2 linked regions of the Arabidopsis thaliana genome follow. The protein of the gene in region 2 purifies or fractionates together with the protein of the main gene of each other region. This does not show direct contact. Each region holds a gene or a part of one and is shown on either strand. Other genes may lie near its edges. The genes, in order: AT2G24440 and HB25.

What was found.
Region 1: the proteins of HB25 (region 2) and AT2G24440 fractionate together in Arabidopsis thaliana (co-fractionation; one large-scale study listed by BioGRID). This does not show direct contact.

The regions. Positions count from the first base shown.
Region 1 is NC_003071.7:10,385,900-10,398,137, reverse strand, and holds AT2G24440 (selenium binding protein), read right to left. Parts: upstream 7,064-12,238; 5' UTR 7,015-7,063; coding exon 6,701-7,014; intron 6,417-6,700; coding exon 6,320-6,416; intron 6,202-6,319; coding exon 6,142-6,201; intron 5,727-6,141; coding exon 5,646-5,726; 3' UTR 5,120-5,645; coding exon of another isoform or gene 4,277-5,119; 3' UTR 4,204-4,276; downstream 1-4,203. Other genes in the region: AT2G24480 (Zinc finger, C3HC4 type (RING finger) family protein), read right to left, coding at 1-550; AT2G24470 (filament-like protein (DUF869)), read left to right, coding at 1,516-1,558, 2,075-2,310; AT2G24460 (C3HC4-type RING finger protein), read right to left, coding at 3,175-3,627; FLA3 (FASCICLIN-like arabinogalactan protein 3 precursor), read left to right, coding at 4,277-5,119; NAC038 (NAC domain containing protein 38), read left to right, coding at 11,752-11,938.
Region 2 is NC_003076.8:26,129,889-26,140,504, forward strand, and holds HB25 (homeobox protein 25), read left to right. Parts: upstream 1-6,113; 5' UTR 6,114-6,290; coding exon 6,291-7,130; 3' UTR 7,131-7,666; downstream 7,667-10,616. Other genes in the region: AT5G65400 (alpha/beta-Hydrolases superfamily protein), read left to right, coding at 1,506-1,838, 1,997-2,095, 2,193-2,234, 2,464-2,608, 2,853-2,954, 3,083-3,174. UniProt on the Arabidopsis thaliana protein: Putative transcription factor.

The sequences.
Region 1 (12,238 bases), on a different chromosome or scaffold from region 2:
CAATCACCCACTTGGTGACACATCCTTCATGATAACAATGCTTACAATAAGGCATCTGGCAATAATTCTCAGATCTCGACATATTCTCCAAACAGATTGCACAAGTCTCCGATTCTTCTTCTTGGTCCACATCTGTTGCTGACGGAGAAGAAATACAAGGGACAACACTGTATACCTTTTGAGTCAATTTGACAGAGACAATCATGAATAAAGGTTGTTGTTGTGAGTAAAAACTTTGACTTCTTTGTCGTTGGGCTTCGACAATCTTAGAAGATATCTGTTCGGACATGACATGATCGTGGAGTTGGCTTTGGAGACGGTGAAAGACGTCGTTTGGTTTAAAACATGGTAGTTTCAGAGAGATTAGTGGGTCGTGGCAAGAAGAATCAGGGTAAGAACCGAGACTCGTGACACTATCATCTTTCTCTTTAATGAGAAATTCCTCGACTTCTCTATGTAGACTGATTACTACGGTGCTTAAGAACCCTAATGACCGACCTTGAGACCAAGCCTGAACATGAACATCGAGTTTGAATGATTCAGTATCCATTCTCGTAGTGAAAATTAGACAAAAAATCAGAGAGAAAGATGATTCGTAAAAGATTAGATGAGAGAGGAGATTGTAGTGAAATCTGAAATTGTGGAGAAGTGAATGTGTAATGTTATGTTTATATAAGCAAAACTCTGATTATAATTGTTCGAACGCGTTAATTGTAATTTCCTTTCTTTATTCTAACCGTTAATGTAATTTCCTTTTCTCCATATTACCTTGTTTCCTTTTTTTCTTGTTGGTAAAACATCTCGTTATACCAGAGTGCTTAAACCAAACCATTTTTCCTATTGTAATTTGCCGGTTTATATTGTGTTGTTTGATTTTCCTCAAATACTTTAACTAATAACCAAAATATATATATATATATATATATTTTTTTTTGGATAACCCAGGTATCCCAAGCCCAATGGGCCCAGACTAGCCCACTGCGTGCGTCCCGAAGACGGCAAGAGTAGTTCTTCAAATACTTTAACTAATAACCAAAATATATTTTGTTACAATAATAAAGAGATTGTTAGATAAATTGTGATATTTCACAATCTCTTTGATTTTTTTTTTTTTTTTCTGGTTATCATCATGTTGATGTGCTAATTGTGTTATATGTTACTTGGGAGCAACCTAATATTTTATCAAATGCTTTTTAAAGACCTCTATAGTATTCATGTTTTCTCTGACTTAAGCTGGCAAAAACATATTTCAAGTGAAAAGTTGCTTTTCGTGTAGAAAATTGGATTATCCAAAACGCTAATGTGTTCAACATACTTGAAAAGAGTGGTTTATGTGCTGCAATCATCGAAAGTTTTAGGGTCTTATGTAAAACATTTAATCCTATATATCAATTTAAGAGGAGTTTCCAACCAATATAGTTCACCTAAATCCAACTGTAAAATTCGAAACCGAAACTAATCTATATATATATATATACCAAAAAAATGAAGCTAAAACTACCAAAAAGATTGGCCATGGAAGAGCAAGTCTTGGGACAAAGCCACGACTGTGAAACCGGTTGTTGGAAATGAGTCAACTCTTGTTTGTTCTATGTCCTATAGCTTCTCTGGAGAATCAGGATCTCTGCTTTTATATGAGATTAGTAGTCCTAATGTGTCAGTTTTGATAATTTATAAATTTCATTTGTAAGTCTTTTGTGTTTTGATTGTCAGGAGAAGTGTAAGAACACAGACTATGTTCAGATAACTATCGAGTCATACACACGTATGAGTAAAATAGAGGATCAGGCCAAATTATTTGAAGTTGAAGTTAAATCTTAAAGAAAGACTCAATCATGCTTACTCTGAGTTTACGACTAAAGAATGATTCTTTAACATGGAAAAGTCGCTGAAGCAGCTGTTTCAGGTTAGAGCACAAAACCTTTCATAGTTCTTGAGATGTTATGTGAGCAATTCTTGTGTGTTAGTATTAGAAATTTAGAAAATACAGACTGTTTAAAGATGTTTTTGTTACTGATTTGTCTTTTGTTCTTTAGCACTTAAACGTCAACTTGAATCTGTAACACTCTTAAAGCTGCAGATAAGAGTGACCAGAAGCTGCAAGATGTGACTCTTGCTAAGACCACTCACTGGGGAAAGATCAAAGCTATGCTTGAAGAAAAGATCGATGAATTGAGCCAAGGACTTCACCGAGTAGCTTCTGACAATGCAGCACTCACTAGATCGTTGCAAGAACGATCTGAGATGATAGTAAAGATTAGTGAGGAGAGGTCTAAAGCTGAAGCTGATGTGGAAAAGCTGAAAGACTAATCTTCAGTTTGCTGAGAGAGAAATTGAGATCCGCAACAATGAAGAGAAAAACATGAGTTTGAAGTCAGCGGAAATCGCAAATAAGCAGCATCTGGAAGGTGTGAAAAAGATTGCAAGACTTGAAAAAGAGTGTCAAAGGCTAAGAAGGCTTCTACAAAAGAAGCTTCATGGTCCTGCTGCTATGTCTCAGATGAAGATAGAAGTTGAAAGCTTAGGGCATGAATTCACAGACCCTCAGGCACATAGGAACATGTCTCAAAATCACAAATTCACAATACACACTTCGCAGAGGCCGATATTTCTGCTGAACATCTCGCTTCCCGTAACAATGAACGCCTGCTTAAGTCTGGTATTAGATTGTTTCCTTGTTTATTTCATCTTTCTAAACGAATACTGTTCTTGGTTCAGATAAAAATTTATGTTGCTTGCCAATCAAGATTTTTGTTAAAAACAAGAAACAAACTTGTAATGTAAGCATTACAATTCGAGAATCTGAATTTTAGTTCTTCAAGTTCACTTGTCTTTTATCTGAATAAAAATTCGATTTTAACATCAATGTTGTGTATCATACAAGTATCAAACTTGTAATGACAATTTTTAAGTGAATTTCAAATTGAGACTCTGAGTTTTATTAAAGTAAACTGCATTGAATGTTGTCAACAAAAAGGTATTGAGATCAATACATAGACAATGAGAAAACCCTAATTAGCATCTTAAACGTCTACGACAGAGATTAAAACTAAACTTAGACTTGCGACACACGAATAAAACCCTAATTAGACTCTTGTTGTTCGTAAACAGGTTCCCCACAGAGAACATGAGTAACGACACAATCTTCATGAAACAGATGCGAGTTCGATTCTTCTACTTTGCTCTCTTAGTCAAATCTGTTGCCAACGGAGAAGCGTTACAAGGCGCGTAGGTGTATAACTTCTGTGTCAATTTGACGGAGACTAGCATGAATAAAGGTTGTTGAAACGGAAACTGATCAATACTTTGAGTTCCTAGTTGGGCTTCGAAAATCTGATCAGCTATTTCTTCGGACAAGACATGATCGTGGAGATGATCTTTGAGTTTGCTACGGAGAGTTAGATAGATGTAGTCTGGTTCGGAGGTTGGGAGTTTCAGAATGATTAGTGACTCGTCGGGAGTAGAAGAATCAGGGTAAGATCCGAGGCTCTTGATGCTATCAACATTCTCGTCATATTCCTCCAGATCTCTGTCAAGAGTGATTATTACCGTGCTTAACAACCCTAACGACGGATCTTGAGACGTAGTCGTTACTTGAACATCGAGTTTGATTGATTCAGTTTCCATCGTCGATCGTAGTGAAATTAGACAAAACTCAGAGATAGAGAGAAAAGATTAGTCGTATGGGAGAGGAGATTGTTGTGAAATCTGAAATTGTGGAGAAGTGAAGGTGTAATGTTATGTTTATATAAACAAGAAAACTCTTGAGGATAATTTGTTCTAACGCGTTAATGTAATTTCCTTTTTTTTCTTCCATATTGTCCTTTCTTTCTTATTATCTTCTTAAAAGCATTTTTATTGTTGTATTTCCTTTTTTCTTGTTGGTAAAACATATCTTCAAAAATAAAATAAATAAAATAAAACATCCTATGACCCTGTCACAACTTCCTGATTCTAGCTTCGGACCTCAAGTTGTTGAAGAATTGACTTAATAAAGATTAGGATGGACTTGTCTACGTTGGCTCTGTATCAATAACGCAAACCTCAGAACCAAAGGTAAAAATAAAACAGTCTAAAGCCAAATATAGAGGTAACAATAAAGTCATGTTCAAATTTAGCCAAAACAAATATAAGTAAATGTCTCTCCACCATTAATCTTGAGCTCCTCTTAAGGTCTGTATATATACCCAACCTGATCCTCTTATTGCAAACTCAGGCTTTGAGGTTTGAGCTTTTACTATAGAATAATAAGGGTAATAAACAAAGACACCCAAAGATGGGTCTCAAGGTCTCCTCTTCTCTCCTCTGTCTCACCATCTTACTCGCTGTTTCATCCATTGTATCAGCGGTTAACATAACCCGAGTGCTCGAGAAATACCCTGAATTCAGCACCATGACCGAGCTTCTTGCCAAGACCGAGCTCACACCAATTATCAACAAACGTCAGACCATCACCGTGCTGGCCCTTAACAACGATGCTATCGGTTCCATCTCTGGTAGACCCGAGGAAGAGGTCAAGAACATTCTTATGAACCATGTGGTTCTTGACTACTTTGATGAGCTTAAGCTCAAGGCTCTCAAGGAAAAGAGCACATTGCTCACTACCCTTTACCAGTCCACCGGTTTGGGCCAACAGCAAAACGGTTTCCTCAACTGCACCAAATCTAACGGAAAGATTTACTTTGGTTCTGGTGTGAAAGGCGCTCCTCAAACCGCTGAATACATCACAACCGTTTTCCGTAACCCGTACAATCTCTCTGTGGTCCAGATCAGCATGCCCATTGTGGCACCTGGACTCGGGTCTCCGGTTAAGGTTCCTCCACCACCACCCATGTCTTCACCACCGGCCCCATCTCCCAAGAAGGGTGCAGCCACTCCAGCTCCAGCTCCTGCTGATGAAGGGGATTATGCAGATGCTCCTCCTGGTTTAGCTCCAGAAACCGCACCTGCATCTGCACCATCAGAAAGTGATTCTCCAGCTCCAGCTCCAGATAAGTCTGGCAAGAAGAAGATGGCAGCAGCTGATGAGGCTGAACCACCTTCTTCTGCTTCTAACACCGGTTTGAGCTTCGGTGCTGTCCTTGTTCTCGGGTTTGTGGCTAGCTTTGTTGGGTTCTAAGATGATTTAAGACAGCGAGTCGAGGATAAATTAAACTGATAATGAGACTCGAACATAGACAGAGGCAATGGTGATACGAAGTGGATCAAAGACACTAACAATTTCTACTCACATTATTGTACCTCAATCATTTATCATTAGACAATGAAAGTGTGATGTTCTGTCCTGTGAAGCTTGTATTACCACATTGTAACTAAATGTTTTATCTTCATTCATCCAATCCGTAACGTAATTGAACGCCAAACACAATCCAACAATAAATGAAACGAAACGAATTGCTTCAAACTAGCATTACGAAGACAGACTTAATCCCATATATATCAGGAAGTTTTAGCATAAAGAAACTGCACAAAGCCGATCAAGCACTACCAAACGACGAAACCGTGCTCAAATGGTTTTCACCAATATATCAAAATTAAGCCTAAAAAATCCTGCAGTTGCTCTAGATAGTCAGATATTGAAGCCTATTAGCCGAGGGCCAAGGAGGAAACGAAAGACTCGGCATTGGTAGAACCTACTAGCTGTGTTACTTAATCTTCTCTACGATGTCCGCAATGACCTCTTCCATGTTAAGTTCCTTCATCGGTGTAAATGGGCGCTTCATAGCCTACATAAGAAAATCACATCATCTTCTATATACATCTGAGAATAAAGAACATGAAAGCAAACATTTTCTTATTGTACACCTAGTCACTAACAATCAGATCTGCTAGTTTGTTCTTATTTCAAACAACTTAGCACTCAACTTGATTCAGTTAAAAAGCAAACAACCAAAGGCCATTTTATGAATGCTCTAACAAAACCTCATTGGTGATCAGTTGACTCAGCAAAAATAGCCTCAATTTCGTGTGAGCTTAAGAAAATAAAGTTGATTTTCACTTTTTAAAGTATACCATCAAAGAAACTATGTTATGCGAATAGATACAGACACGACGAGAAACATCAATCCAACTGGAACAAGTCACTCACATAAGTGCGACTAACTGGCATACTACATTCAAGTATGAGAGTGAAAAACTTACCAAAAGACTGATGAATGTCTCGCCGCCTTCCTCTCGAATCTCAAAGCAACCACGCCTTGGCTGTTAAAGCAGATCAAAAAGGAAAGAATTAGCTTATTAATGCACACATTGGTACAAACAATCATAAACAACAAGCATCAATGACAAATATATACATCTGCAGCAAAAGATTCACTACCTTATCAGGATTCACAGTGACAATGATGCCAGGAACAGCTTCCTCTAGACCTTCCTTCACCTCATTAGCCCTCTCCTTGAATGATTTGCATTGTTTGCTTCAGGAAAACAACAACAAACAAACATCAGCAACATAACGAAACCTAACATCAATCAAAACCACACTAAGAAACATAACCAAATACGATAATAGATCACATTTCAACCTAAGCAACGAAATTGAATCAATTATATAGGCGAATGACACATTGTGTACAAAACCAAAGATTAGCTTCAATATCGGAGAACAAAATCCCTAAATACTCGCTACTACATTTTCCCCCAATTTTCTCCAGAAACTCTAAAAGAAAAAAACCAAAGCCGAGAGAGACATTTCGTTTACCAATGCTCGATCACAATCTTCTTCTTATCGGAGTCGTCATCTTCTTCTTTCTCTGCAGCATCATCATCTTCCTCCTCCTCTTTCTCGATTTTCACAGCTACCTCTTCTTTCTTTACCTTCTTCTTCGCAGCTCCAACATTCTTCGCTTTCGTCGTCTTCCGTTTCTTCTTCTCCGGAGATTCGATCTTCATGAGCTTAGAAGAAGAACCATCTCGCTTAGTATCGCTTCGAGTCTTTCGATCCATGCTTCGAAGCATCCTCGTATTCGCTATAGCTTTCCCTTTTCCTTCTCCGTCAACCTTCTTACTCGCCATTTGTACGGAACTAAAGCTCTGTCAACCTCCGCACCAAATGGGCTCTCTGTCTCTCTCTAGATATTTCACTTTTTTTATATTTTTACTTTTACTTTAGTTAAAAAGACGTTAGAAGGTTAAAAGTTACCTTGGAAGGACACGTCATCAAATTTTTAATGGACAGTCAAGATTAACTGATGAATAATAAAGACACTGACACTGTTCGATTATGGTCGCTGTGATAATAAAAGGCGTGTGTTTAAGTGATCATCAGTATAACACATCGTGACGTTTTATTTCTAAAGATTAGCACAACATGCTGTTTGGGTCAATCAATGGAAAGAAAACGTTGCAGAAGTTGCTGATTAATCAGTGGAAAGAAAACGTTTCAGGATTAGTAAAACATACTTAAAAGAAGATAGTTAATGATTATGAAAAGACCTTAAACAAGCCAAGAGTAGTCCAAGACTACTTGGAAATTGGAACATAGGGAGTATTCGAAGAGTCAAAACATAAAATAGCCAAATAGGTTAAAAACAAAATTTAGCTAAGAAATGGAATCTGTCATTAGTTAACCACCTAAGTCGATATATACTATACTGTTGGGATTGGACTACTAGGTACGTGTCCATCTCGAAAGATTGTTGCTTGCAAATTTGTGCAAAGATTTATTAAATTTAGATAAAGACAAATTACAAATCAAAATCAAAGACTTTTATTGATTATCGTACGGTAAAAATACCAGAATTATATTTGAAGTGTGTTACAAGTAGCATACCAAGCATGAATTCCGCATCAAATCAATACTTTCTTCCATGAATGTGTCATTTTCTCGATTAAGTAGATATGTTTATATCAACTTGTAATTTACTAGTGATTTATGAGTTACCGATATTTCATATACATGTTGATGTAAATGTCGACATGTATATGAAATATTGGTAACTCGGGTAGTATATAATCACATGTAGAGCTAAATTGTGGTGAGTGGGTTAATTGACTCCATGCTATTTTTTTTTAATTTATTTATAACCTTAAATAACATAAAATAAAAAAAAATTTGGGGTCAAATGACCCACTCACCACCACAAAGTTATATGAGATTGTTTTAAGATTATAAAAATATGCTACAACTCCATACAAACGAAAAATTCAAAACTACAATTGAAGTAAAATATAGTGGGATGATACTTTCTTAAACTTATATTGGGAGCATTTTTGTGTTGTAAAATTACAATCTTTTTGGACTAAATAACTGATTCATGCTCTTTTTTCTGAAAATCAAAATGATGGAGAAAGAAATTAAAGTGCACAAAATTTTATGAAATTAAATAAAAGTGCATAATAAGTAGATATATATCGATATAAAGTATACGTACACGATAAAGTAACTTTGGGATATTGATGAATGTCCATGCATATAGTGAACATTCACACAAATCGGTTAATGTTCATATTCACACAAATCGGTTAATGTTCACATTCACACATCGGTCATCGGTGGATCATGTTGTAAGAAGTTTGTAGGTGTTACCAAAACAAATATGTATTAAAATTAATCAAACTACGTCTACGTCACTGTAAGAAGTTTTGTAGATCTGTCATGCAATCTTCATAATGACTAAATTAAGATGTATTAACACTAAAAAGGTTATGTATCACTTAGATAAAATAAAAAAGTATATTGGAAATAAAAGAAGAAAAAATTGAAGCTGCTATATGATGCAAAAATAAACCCAATTAATCAACAATCATAGTAAAAAAAAAGAAGGTCGTTTTCATATAAAATGAGATTTTCAAAATTTTAAAGGCTCTCGAGTGAATATTTTCTATTAACATGCATGGTTCGGATTTTTCTAAAACTAGATCATTCAAATTTGCTTTAGATTAGTGAGAATGTTTGCCCAATCATATACGCGAAAGATAATATGATGAGATAAATGTGTCGTAATTTCTTGTACGGGTGAGCATATCCTAACATTTGAAAAAGTTGAACTGTAAACAGATTATAACAATCTTTTACATATTTTGTTAATAAAAAATGGTTATCTACGTAATAATGGTAGCTTCGTAGGAAACATTAGAGGTAAAATGAACAAAGAACGGTAGGTTCTAATGATCGGGACATTCGTCGTTGATTAAAGACGCATTTCATTTTCTTACTTGAAGTGTTTGATAAGTTAAACCTACTACATTTTCTGGAAGACTACGAAATATAAGAATATGTGGGAAGATATACTATAATATATCTTCTCATGGTATAATTGGCATGACTTTTTTTCAAAATTGGCATGTTTCATTTGGTAATAAAATAAAATGTTATCGTATTTCAAAGAAAATTTGAGCAACAATATAGTTTATACAATGGTACTTCTTATAGTGATAATTGCGATAACTGTTGATTCAAATTCTTTATTTTATTAATATTAAATATCTAGTAAGCCCTATTGTTCAATTATTCCATGTACTTTTGACGATGTATAGTCGGAGTCTAAGCTAGTTTTTTTCTTCTAATTATGAGAATATGAATCTAAATCTTTCTAAGTTATGTTGTTGTTTTGTTTCAAGTTATTTCTATCCTACCACTAGTCAGTCAAACCGGAATTTCAAAACTTCAAAGTTAAATGTTAGGTTTCCATTGATTAATTACTCTATACACCTTTTTTTTGTCGGGCAAAATCAATATATTAGGACAAGACGTCGGAAAAAGTTTGGAAGAAAACCAACAATGTGTCCGCAATATTTGGACCGTAAAGAATGATTATATATTACGTTTATACAAAATGATCTTGAAGTGAGGGTACCTAAAATGCTAGGTTGATTTCCAAATATGTATTTGTGTTGGAGCGAATTAATCAGCGGGTTGTTGAATGATCACATGAAATCCTTAAGATAATTGAAGGAGACTCAAATTACACACACGCAAACTCATCCATATCTGATCTTAGATATATTATATATGGAACTAACATTGGTCATTTTGCGGTCTTGAGCGGAAGAGATGACTCAATACTTAGTACTTTTCTAAGAAGATTGAACTCAAAACAGCCTCAACGAGCTAAATTATTTTTGTGTGAAGATAGAACTCAAAATTACATCCACAGAACTGCAATCTATTTATATGCGAAGAGATAACGCAACATTTAATTTTAGCAAGCTAAAATTCACTTTCCAATTAAACGTAAACTCAACACTTACTTTCAACAAACTGATATATCTACTTGAAAAGAAAACTCAACGCTTGCACTCAGCGAGCATAACTTCTCTTCTTCTTCTTCTTTTTTCTTGTCGAGGTAACAAAAATGTCACAAGTTTTGTTGAGGAGAAGAGTTTACAGTCACATCGGGAGTTTTTTTTTCCCATTAAATCTCTTTTCTTTGGAGGTCTTTAATTTGATTCTCAACAGATACGTGATCAAGTTGTGAATAATCAATTTTTTTGTGAATATATACCAACTCGAATAAAATAAAAACATAAATGGACAAAATAAAAAAAAGTCAAAAAATAAAATTGTCATTAATTATTATGTGTCCTTTTTTGGTAATTTATTTTTGGGAAAACAGTAAATATTTTATTGTGTTTAATTATATAGAAGAATAGCTAATATTTGGAACAAAATTGTTCACGTGGAAAAGACAGTGAGAAAACTTGGATCCATCCATAGTCCATATATATGGGTAGTCTTCCTTCTTTCTTTATTTGATGTGTTATTCATGACCATTTTATATTTGAATTAAATCATATAAACCATTTGATTCTTTGACCATCGACCATTGACCCCTAAACCAAACATATGATTTTTTTTGGGAGTCGTAATTAGCAACAAAACGGACCGGCTCGTGCGTGATCCGACACCAACACCAACATAAGGTTTTTTTTTTTCCGTTCTTAACACCAACATAGTTCATTCATATATATAGGGAATATACACATGTGGGTGTGTGTATAAGTATATCTGTATATATGTATAAGCTAAGATGAATTAATAAGGGTCCTAAAAGGAGAATTTCTTGACCAACTACACAAAATAAACAAAGGATAAAATTTGGACGTGTGAGGTTTAGCTGCATGTACCTTGTACTTGAAGACCCTTATTAGGTGAGAGCTTCATGCACACACTCTCTTCCACATTTTCCTCCCTTTTCTACATAATAATTTCTACCCCATACAATAGTAATGTTATTTAATTATTTATAAACAATCACATAAACACTGAAATGTAAATTATATTCTTACAGCGTCTTATTGAAAATTCTATGTCTTTCAAACTTAGATGGTAATTGGGTTTTCTAAATATGCTAACAAAACTTAGAATTGATAAATATGTGTATGTATTTATAAATTAATCAAAACCGTGTTAGCGTAATTGTTTTTTAATCCCATTCACGATAAAGTAAGAAGAAAAAAACCCTACTCTTTGTCGTCTTCCTTCATCTTTTTCCTCCTAAGAATAGTCGCAAGTCATCCTTGTCTCATGATATATAAATACCATCAAAACCCTAATCTCATAAAAGTTTTAGTTGTCTGGTTTTTCCTCATCTATACAAGTAAGCCCAATTTCTCACCCTATACATATCATACATATATATCGATCTTTTACTATTCTCTCTTCTTTCGAATTCCTCCTTTAATACCTTTGTCTTATGGATAAACAGTTGTAGAACGCTAGGATCTATGTGAAACTTAGACTTGTTACTATGTGTTTTAAGCAGGTATAAAAAGGTTCTTGGATTTGGAGTAAACTAAAGATCATATAAAATGGAACAAGGAGATCATCAGCAGCATAAGAAAGAAGAAGAAGCTTTGCCACCGGGTTTCAGATTTCATCCGACGGATGAGGAGCTAATCTCATATTACTTGGTTAATAAGATTGCCGATCAAAACTTCACCGGGAAAGCAATCGCTGACGTTGATCTTAACAAGTCCGAGCCATGGGAGCTTCCTGGTACGTTAATTTATCTTAAGTCTCTTATTCGTAGACACACACAAATTAAAAGATCACATGTATGAATAAACATATTTTTTTTCCTATGTCGATACATGTATATATAATATATATATATATTGATATATATCTTTGATTTCTTTAAAATTTGGTAAGACCTATATTATTTGGATTTAAAGATATCCAAAGGAATATGTGTCTTTATATATGCATATTGCTTATTGCTTTGGATATCTTTACACATATACAACTAATACACACATGAGTAACATGACTTAAATGAACCATATATATGTGTTT
Region 2 (10,616 bases):
TTGGAGAGAGAAAACGTATAATGAAGTAGTATTGAATATTGTATCATGTTTGTCTTACTGTCTAATCGATCCACCCACCGATAATAATAGTATACTTTTTCTGATATAGTAAATAGTAACGATCTCTTTGCCCGTATACGATGAACCTTAATGACAAAAATACAGATCTATCAAGAAAGAACGATGTCGTTATTATCGTATATCCCATGTGCGTAGCAGACCTATCGGGATAATTTTTGATTACTGGTTATGGTTTTATTGTTGTCGTTACCGTTGGATATTTGCTGTTTTTCGTTTTATTTATTTTCTTTTGTCCATTACTATCTCTTGTGTTTGTTGCTAGTAGTAACAAGAGTTGGAGATAGCTGTCAGAGAATTTTATATAGTTGAATAATAAATACAAATATTATAACCCCAAATAAAACGGGTACATATACATTACAACATAACATAACAACGGAAGAAGACATTTGATAGCCTGTAAAGGTCATTTTACAGTGAATCCAGAAGGTTCGTATTAATCATTAAATTAAAATATAATCGGTATTTGACAAAATGAACTGAATTATAGTTGGCAATTTTATGAGGCCCATATGATGCGAAACCAACCGACGATTATACACTATACCTACAATTTTTATTGCACTGACTCGATTGATTAATCCCTAACTAAAAGTTCAAAATATTTGCATCCAACTTTATTTTCATTAGTGTGAACATCAATATAAAGAATTGAGAAGATCATTACAGGTTGTTTCAGATGATAACGACAAGTTCGTTATATATGCACTATAACTTGCTTTGTTACATATGCTATAAAGTTCATTTGCAATATATACGATTTGATTACATCAGTGTGGGATTCCTAGAGGATGAATTAAGTGTTAAAAATGAATCTATACATAGTAGTTTGCTTTGAATCCATATGAAAAAACTGTTGAGGTTTAATGTCGAAATTTCTTTATCTTTGGCTTCGGCTGCAGTCAAAATTGCCGAAAGACCACCTCGACTCCAAACCATTTTCTTGATAATTGTAAAAAAAAAAAAAAAAAAAAACATGATGTCCCATATGCGTGTCTAATAATATATATAGCCAAGAAGCATATATTTATTTAGGGGAAGAGAATGCTAAAGCATGAGTTTTGTGCTGGCTTTATGTTGTTGTAACTCTTAGAGCAACATGTATTCACTTCTAACTGAACTTTACATAATTTAAAGCATGATTTGGATTATCTAAAAAAAAGTTAGATTATGATGAATATACAAGTTTTTTTTGTTAGTGGAAAACTCTCATTTCTTCGAGTAAGCTTCTCCATACATAATTTTCATTGTCTATATATATATTGATCTATTTGTAATTGTAACTCTTGAAAGTTTGGAAAATATTTGTAATAAGAGATAAACAATGATATGGGCCGATATTTGCGAAACTGATTTCAAAGGATTCTTCTTTATGGGCCTATAGAGTTTTGGGCCTTTCTACCAAAACTTTCGCGACAAGCGATATGTTAGGGCACAAGGACAATTCGAAACCTGAGAAGAGAGCTAGAGCTTGTCAGATGTTAGGATACTCCTATCCTTGTTTCCAAACGGGATTACGGTTAACGACGGCGATGGCGCCGGAAATTCACCTGAAACCGAAGAACCCTAGAATTTTATGCCTTCATGGATTCAGAACTAGTGGTCGGATTCTCCAAGCCGGTATAGGTAAATGGCCGGACACAATTCTCCGAGATCTCGACCTCGATTTCCTTGACGCTCCTTTTCCGGCCACCGGGAAATCGGACGTCGAGCGTTTCTTTGACCCACCGTATTACGAGTGGTACCAGGCTAACAAGGTTCGTTGCAACAAAATCCTAAATTTCCTTGAATTCAGTATTGATCATTGACACTGTTAACACTATCAGAGTAAAGGTTGTTTTTTTTCTCTAGAAAACAGAGAGATTTGGTCTAAGTTTGTATACATAATTTGATTTGTGTGTGTGTGTGTTTGCAGGGGTTTAAGGAATATAGGAATTTTGAAGAGTGTTTGGCTTATATAGAGGACTACATGATAAAGAATGGACCTTTTGATGGTCTTCTTGGTTTTTCTCAGGTTTGTTTTGATTCTTTGGCGAGATTTTAGTACTGATCACTTTCATATATATCAGCAGGAGGATCGTGGACCGTTGATTCTTGATCCATTCTTGCAGGGAGCTTTTCTAACTGCAGCTATTCCTGGAATGCAAGAACAGGTACATAACTGCATAACTGATCATAATCCTGGTTCTGAGATTGAATCTGCTTATGATATTTTGAAGAATGAAACCTATTGTTAGAGTAGTTTTCTATTGTTCTGTTTTGAGCAAGTGTGTGATGTTGAAACCATTTATATGCAACAGAGAGGTTGAATCTGAATTGAAGAATGAAACATGTTGTTTTAATAGTTTGAGTAAGTCTGTGATGTTGTAAACTGTTTTGTAGGGATCGGCTCTAACTAAGGTGCCAAAAGTCAAGTTTTTAGTTATCATTTCTGGAGCGAAAATTCCAGGGTTGATGTTTGGGGAGCCTAAAGCTGCTGTTAATGCATTCTCATCTCCAGTTCGTTGCCCATCACTCCACTTCATAGGTAAACTGTTACTACGTTGCGCATGTTCTTGACTTGATTTCTCGGTTATGTTGTAATGCCAAGTTTCTGTTGTTTGAAGCTTACGTTAGTAGTGTGCCTTTAGTGTAGCCAAGATTGGCATGGGAGTGTTTAGACTAGAATCTAATCTGCAGCACTACATGTTAACGTTAGAGATTCTCTCCTACAACATTTGATATGACATAAGAGACAACTTGTTTGTAATTCTGTATCGGTTTTGCTGCAGGTGAGAGGGATTTCCTGAAGATAGAAGGTGAAGTGCTTGTAGAATCATTCGTAGAGCCAGTGGTGATCCATCATTCAGGTGGACACATTATACCAAAACTCGGTTAGTAAGCATGAAAGGCTGATCATTTAAGCTCTGATTTTTTTTGGAGAAATATGCAATTGAAATAAGTAACATAAGATCTGTCTCTTCTTAATTTACTCTAATGAGCTTATCTTTGTCTTCTGCAGATACTAAAGCTGAGGAGACAATGTTGAGTTTCTTCCAGAGCATTAGGCAGATGCTTTCTGATGAATCAGGTTCTGTAAGAAGCTTGATGTGACTGAGAGCTACTCCAGTATGGTTTACTTTAGATTAGATGATCTTGCAATTTTATAAAATTGTGAGATGTGATTATTCTTCTGGTTTAGTCTTTATCCAGGGACAATTCAATAAACGTAAATTATTAAATTTACCAACCAATATGGATTGCCCGTTCATGTAATTACAGTTTATAGAGAAGAGCCAAAGATGGTCAAATAGTTTGGTACAATTGTCTTCCTTTAAATATATGAGCAGCCAATATCAAAAACTCTATTCAAACTTTTTTCTTTGTTATAGGAAAAATGTTAGGAGAATTTAACAACAAAAAAAAAAAATGATGGAAGAACAAAAAATATGGAGGGGGGCATCAAAGAAGGTGAGTTAAATTATTGTCCTTTAGATGTATTAATGGTCAAATGGATCTCATGATAATCTATGAGTTCCACTTGTAACAAAGTTTTACTTCTTTTTCAATCTACCCCCTTATACCCTATTAACTTAGCCTTGTCGGTTGCTTTCTAGTCTTAAAAAAAAAACAAAATTTCAACTCTTTTTTTATTCTTGTATGAAATAATTGATTGAACATATCGAATTACAGATCATATGATTACCCCTCATTTCAAAATAAATATATGATAAACAGTAGACGTCGACATGGGTTGTGTAATTTCAGACTTATATGTATACCCATCATAAGTATTCTCACGCTTGCAAAGCTTTAACTGTTTAGTTTTCATGCACTTTTAACAAATCATCATCATAATCTATTTTCAACAATTTGCTTATATCTTGAAATAGTTGTTTGGTTTAGTTTTTGTGTTGTTTTCCCTGTTCTCATGATATACCAAACCACTATTTTAATAAGAGGTAGAAAATAATTTCTCGTGAGAATGTCTAGTTGTGAATTGTGATGACCGTATCAACATTAATGTATAGATATATGCAATAAATTGAATTTCAAAGACCCTATCATTGACTTAGGAAATCTATTAACTCATGAATTATGTCTGGCATAAAACTGTTGAATAGTTTTTACATGTTTCTTTTGATAATACTACTTCTGTCTCTTTAAGTTTTTGTGTAACCTATTTATGATTTCTAATTTTGAGATTAAGAAATTTTGAAATTCGGTTTAGTAAGAAATGTAACGTTATGATGATTTACGAATAATGAACGGAGACAAATCCTCTGTGTGTCTCCACGTAGGAAAGCGGTTTCCCGCCAGCTGACAAGTAACACGTAAGCACGTCATCTCAAACGTCTTTCAGGAATCCATTTGCTTCATTTCCTCCTCTTATTAATATTTAGTCGGTGTTTTATATATTTTCAGATCTTTATTTTTCTTGTAACATAAAAATTACACTTTTTTGTTCATGTCAAATGAGTTTTCATTATTCACTCTTAAATCTTAATCTCTGCTTTGAAATTTGAGCCGTACAAAAACATTCGCATTTATTGTTGATGCGACACAGATGTTACTTTTATTTTATTATACTATTATTCTGAAGGAACGGTCAGCTGTATTTTTATAGTATAATTTTAATTTAAATCATCATAATCTGGTTATTGAAAAATTATTTCATTTTCAACTTTTTATTGTTTTATAAGATTGGAAATATTTGAATATTGATGAGAGCGAATGTTGGTTTCCTTCTCGAATTCTCGTATACCAATGCTAATATTTCTTTAAAGAAAATACTCCATAGTATGTTTTTTCTTTAAATTTAATTAGCTACGTCAACAAATTTTTTATATTTCTCACAAATAACTTACGTAAATTCATCATGCAATTTTGTGTTGACAAGACCAATGACCCTCGACTGAATTAATGAAGAGACTAGTCGTTAAAAAAATAATACTCAGTTATATGAGTATATAATAGTGCTGGTCGTTTAAAGAAAACAGTAAAAGCATAGTGAAAGGATAAAAACTGTCGTCGGAGATCTAACGTCAGCATAAGTTAATCAGAGGCTGAGAAATGATCATCTCATACGTTTCGTCTTCACATTTGCAACTAATCTACAAGTATTTAATGTATCATTAAACTTTTGTTTACTTGATGACACAAAATAAAACTAAATAAAGTTTTATTTTAGTGTTTATATATTTATACTGAATTATTTAGTAATAATTCTGAAAAGTTGACAACAAAATTCAGACCTTGAAATTATTAAGGGCATTACTGATTTTGATGTGATTAGACTGCCCATCACTTTATTGCAGAAAAATATTAATGCATATATTTATGCTATTGGCATATGGACAAAAATAATTATCGCGTTTATTTTGATTCTATCCCCTTTTTTTTTAGTTTCCCAAAAAGTTATCTCTAATATCATCTCCTCTCTCTTTTTGTTTTTTAATCCTACACTAAGCTTTTTGTATTGTTGTATTGTCCAAAAATAACAAAAGCTTATGGAAAACTTGTAAAACCCATAAGCTACCTAGTGTGTTTTAAGATGAGCCCTAGAACTACTCCTGAAGAAGACAAACATGTTTAATTATATCATTTTAATTCAAGATTACATAAATAAGTTTTTAGTGTGTCATTTTTAGAAGAAAATTAGTAATATTTCGTTCAATTTTCACATGTAGGTAACAATCTTTACAACTTTAAGTAATAACCCAGGAAAAAATAAACAGTAAATGGAATCAAGTAAACACGAACTCAAATCAATTTCTTTTTAACGTGTCTTTTTATATCATAAACATGGTTAAAATTTGTGATCTAATACAAGAATAGTTGACTAAAACAAATCATGCATGGTCAGAGCGATACGACCAAATTGAATAAAATAATAGGAATATATAATTAATAAGAAAGTATAATAGCTCTTCAAGTAAAATTAGAAAGAAAGAAAGAAATAATGCAAAAGATAAAGAAAGCGTTACAAAGTGTGGTTGAGGACAGATTATATTAGATTCCGATTTCCAATAAACAAGAAATTATATAGCAAAAATAAAAGATAAAAATAAAATAAAAACACTTCTCAAATCGGCAAATCCAAAAGAGAGAGATAAAAGAGAGAAAGATAATCTCTTTAATGTCCACATTATCTCTCTCTTCTTCTTCACCTTCTTGAGAAACCTCCTCTCCCCAAAAACGACGTAGTTTCACATTTCTCGACTTCTTGAATGGAGTTTGAAGACAACAACAACAACAACGACGAAGAGCAAGAAGAGGATATGAATCTTCATGAGGAAGAAGAAGACGACGACGCCGTTTACGACTCTCCTCCTCTCTCTCGTGTTCTCCCCAAAGCCTCGACAGAAAGTCATGAAACCACCGGAACTACTTCCACAGGCGGTGGCGGAGGATTCATGGTTGTTCACGGCGGTGGAGGGAGCAGGTTTAGGTTCCGTGAGTGTCTCAAGAACCAAGCGGTGAACATAGGAGGACACGCGGTCGATGGTTGTGGTGAGTTTATGCCAGCTGGAATCGAAGGTACCATCGACGCTCTAAAATGCGCCGCTTGTGGCTGTCACCGTAACTTCCACCGCAAGGAATTACCTTACTTCCATCACGCGCCGCCACAACATCAGCCTCCTCCTCCCCCGCCAGGGTTTTACCGTCTTCCAGCTCCGGTTAGCTACCGACCACCACCGTCACAAGCTCCTCCTCTTCAGCTCGCTCTTCCCCCTCCACAAAGAGAGAGATCAGAAGATCCAATGGAGACGTCTTCAGCTGAAGCAGGAGGAGGGATTAGGAAGAGGCATAGGACTAAGTTTACGGCTGAGCAAAAGGAAAGGATGTTAGCTTTAGCTGAGAGGATTGGATGGAGAATTCAGAGACAAGACGATGAAGTGATTCAGAGATTTTGTCAGGAGACTGGTGTTCCGAGACAAGTTCTTAAGGTTTGGTTACATAACAACAAACACACTCTTGGTAAGTCGCCTTCACCACTTCATCATCATCAGGCTCCTCCTCCTCCACCACCACAGTCTTCGTTTCATCATGAACAAGACCAACCATGAATCTTGAATTTCTTTGATCACTAGGGTTTTAATTTAGCTTAATTAATTACTTGAGAAATTTGAGAGACAAGGTTTTTATTGTTTAATTTATGTACCCATTTTCCTCTTTGATGATGATGTTGATGATGTTGGTGATGATCTTTAATTTCTGGTTAATTATGTTTTGCATTAGTAGCTTTTTAAGTCTCTTAGCAAAATCTTTGATTGGTCTGACTATAAATTACTGACGTCCTTATTTGCATCACATTTGTCAGTGTTTGAATTTATCATGTTTTGTGTATGAATCTATATGAACTTGATCCTGAATATATATGTACATGTATTTTGTGTATGCATTATTTATGTCTTCTTTAGCATATGATTTCATTTTTATTTTATTTTGTGCAGCCTAAGCTTTTACTTGTTGACATTGTTATATATTGTTTCTTAAGTTCCTGGTGTTTTTGTGTGTTATTATATTTGACTGACCATTATTTTCACCCACACACACATTTGTAGCTAGCTAGATCTGATAGTGTTCTTGTTTCTTAAGTTCTAGGTTTTTGAGTGTTTATATATTTTCTTGATCATTTTTTACCACACATATCTAATGATAAATTGGTTATTGTCATAATTATATCTTATGTGGGATTCTATATATATATATATACTTGTCATTTAATTGTCCAATGAGTGTAGGACTCAAATGTGGATCGGTCGGAATTTCCTTGGGATGGAGATCTCTGCCCTAAGAATTAAATAAGTATTTCAATGGCTTATATTATTATCATATATGCGTGAATTAAATAATTTTTTTTTTCCATTGGAAATGAAAAAGGTGAAATAACATCAGCTAGCTGCGGCAACAGTATTCTGATTCCTGGGAATTAATTCTTCACTTAAAAAAAAAAAAAAAAATTAAACTCAAAACATGTCGATGCATCCAAAGCTTCTTATATCCTCTTTATGTCTTATATTATATGTATATGTATATTGTTCTTTGAAGATCTGGGGAAGAAGGAAACATGTGGGCTTCTTTGGAAGCAAGAAGGAGAAGATAGGAAAACATATGGGCACACATACATTACTGCATTAATGATGTTCTTCTTCCAAATCCCTAGACTTTCATCTGGAACTAATTTTGTTTACTTTTTCTTAAGATCACTCATTCACTTATTTCACCTCTAATGATAATTTAATTTGAGTAGTAAACATTCAATTTAATCGAGCAAAAACATATTCAATTGGTTCCATAATCATTTAGTAGTAATAACAATATCAATTTCAACGAGTTACAGTAATTATAATTAACAAAAGTGGTTCGGCCTAGTAATTTATTTTATGCAAAGTGTGTTTGTGAAAAATTTATTGACTAAGGTATGTGTACATATGAACATACATTATATCTCTCTATCTTACATCGTATACCTGAGAGAAACAAAGATAATGAATTCAGATGAAATTAGGGTTTTGAGTGATGGTGAAATGCAAAGATGCAGAGGAAAGAGGGAACCAAAATGATTGTAAAAGGAAAGAAGAGGCAGATAAGATTCGAGTCCCCATCTCACGGCCATTTCCATATATAGCTTTTCATGTCTCAACCTCTCCATCATCTCTCTCTTTTTCTCTCTCCCTCAGACAGTGCAGTAAAACTCGAAAGAGAGTGAGAGAGAGACAAATATACACACAAATGAAGAGACTTGAGAGAGATGCTTTTGCTTGATAAGGCAATCTCTACGCATTCTTGTCCAAGCTAAAGCTGCACACTCCTAGAGTGAAGATGACTTTGTTGTGGTCCTCTTTCATTTTCTCCCTTCTTTCTTTTTTGGTCCAAAATTTAGTTTTCACAAATTTCAAACGCGTTTACCTCAATTAGTTCATTGATATGGCTAATGAATCGGATCGAATTTAAACTTCGATCAACACTTGTTTGAAAATAATGATTATAGTTGCATGGACCAAAGTTTCAGTTACTTCGCAAATAAAACGCAGTTAGCTCAACCGAACAATATCTAATTCGTTAGAAAATTCAATAATTCAGTTGAACTTTAATACAAATCTTGGCTAAGTTAGATCGTAATTTTACGTATAACTTTTAGTTGCTAGAAATTTTAATTTCGTCTACATTGCTTCATAAATCGAGTTATAAGAGAAATAATGATGAGGACATGTATAAATATTATGATTATAGACTTTATTCAGAGGGGAGAAATGTTTACTCGCTGATGCAGTAATGAGAAATGTTCGTACCATACGTTGGAGTCTGAACTTGTAATAAATGTTCATAGAAAGTAGTGAAAATTAAAGTAGTTAAGTTAATTTATCAAAAAAAGAAAAGTAGTTAAGTAAATGAATTTTAGGGTTGTTTTTGGATGTATGGTGAAATTGAAATTATTGAGGAGCATAATATTTTGATCAGATAATAATACTATTTATTTAAACATGATTTTTTAATTTTACTGTGGTCCTCTTCATGGAATCTTTCAGTCAATACGCAGAAACCCATCGGACAACGACCCATCAATGTGTATATTATGTACCATACATATATTATATGAGTGTATACGTTTATATCATCATCATCATCATTATCATCACCATCATCATCATTCTCACAGTGTTTTTACTGTGGAATTGTTACTGTCGTTATGCTTCATTTAGGGAATCTAAATGTGACCCGCAAGCAGGGTTTATTACCTCCCTTTCAAGCTAAGTTTCGAAACAAGTAGTTTTTTAATATGAAAAAGTAAAAAGCTTTATTTTGATTGCGTAAATTTAAATGTAGGACAAGCTAGGGTTAGTAGGACAAGCTAGGGTTAGGGTTTTATATTTCTTTAAACTATATGATATGGGCATACTCTTAGCTTCATAAACATTGCCCTAATTTGGGAAACTGATGATGATTCACGTGCAATGAATAATTTTTTTTTTCTTTCCTGCTTTACATTTCAATTTTTACTTATTCTTAGATATGTAGTTAATTAGTCATGTCGTACCATGATTCAAAGAATTTTACGATTGTATGGAATTCTTAAATACGTAATTTGTTTTTCTTTATACGAAAGGAAAAATATTTTAGATTTGTATTTGGGTCTAGTGGGATGGTTTGTACCATCTTAGTTGAATTTGCTAATCTAATACAAATTAATAGTTGGGAAAAAAAGGAAAAGTATTTTCTCTTTAGTTCATATGTAAAAGAAAAGGCAAAGGTTGAGAAAAGTTTAGAAGCTATAACTTTTAGCAACTTTTATTTCAGGGAAAATAAAAAATATATAATTTGGACAGTTGAATGACTGTGACGACTCATTATGACAAAGCCCAATGAAAGAATTATAAAAGTTTATTTGTTTTGTATTGTTGTCTTCACTTAGTCCTCTGTCCAACTCCAAATAGTTTCTTCATTTCAAAATTTTCACACAATCGTACACAGACATATAATTATGTACGTATATATATATATATATATATCATTCCGTGAAGATTAATTTTGACTGTGTCTAGGATCCT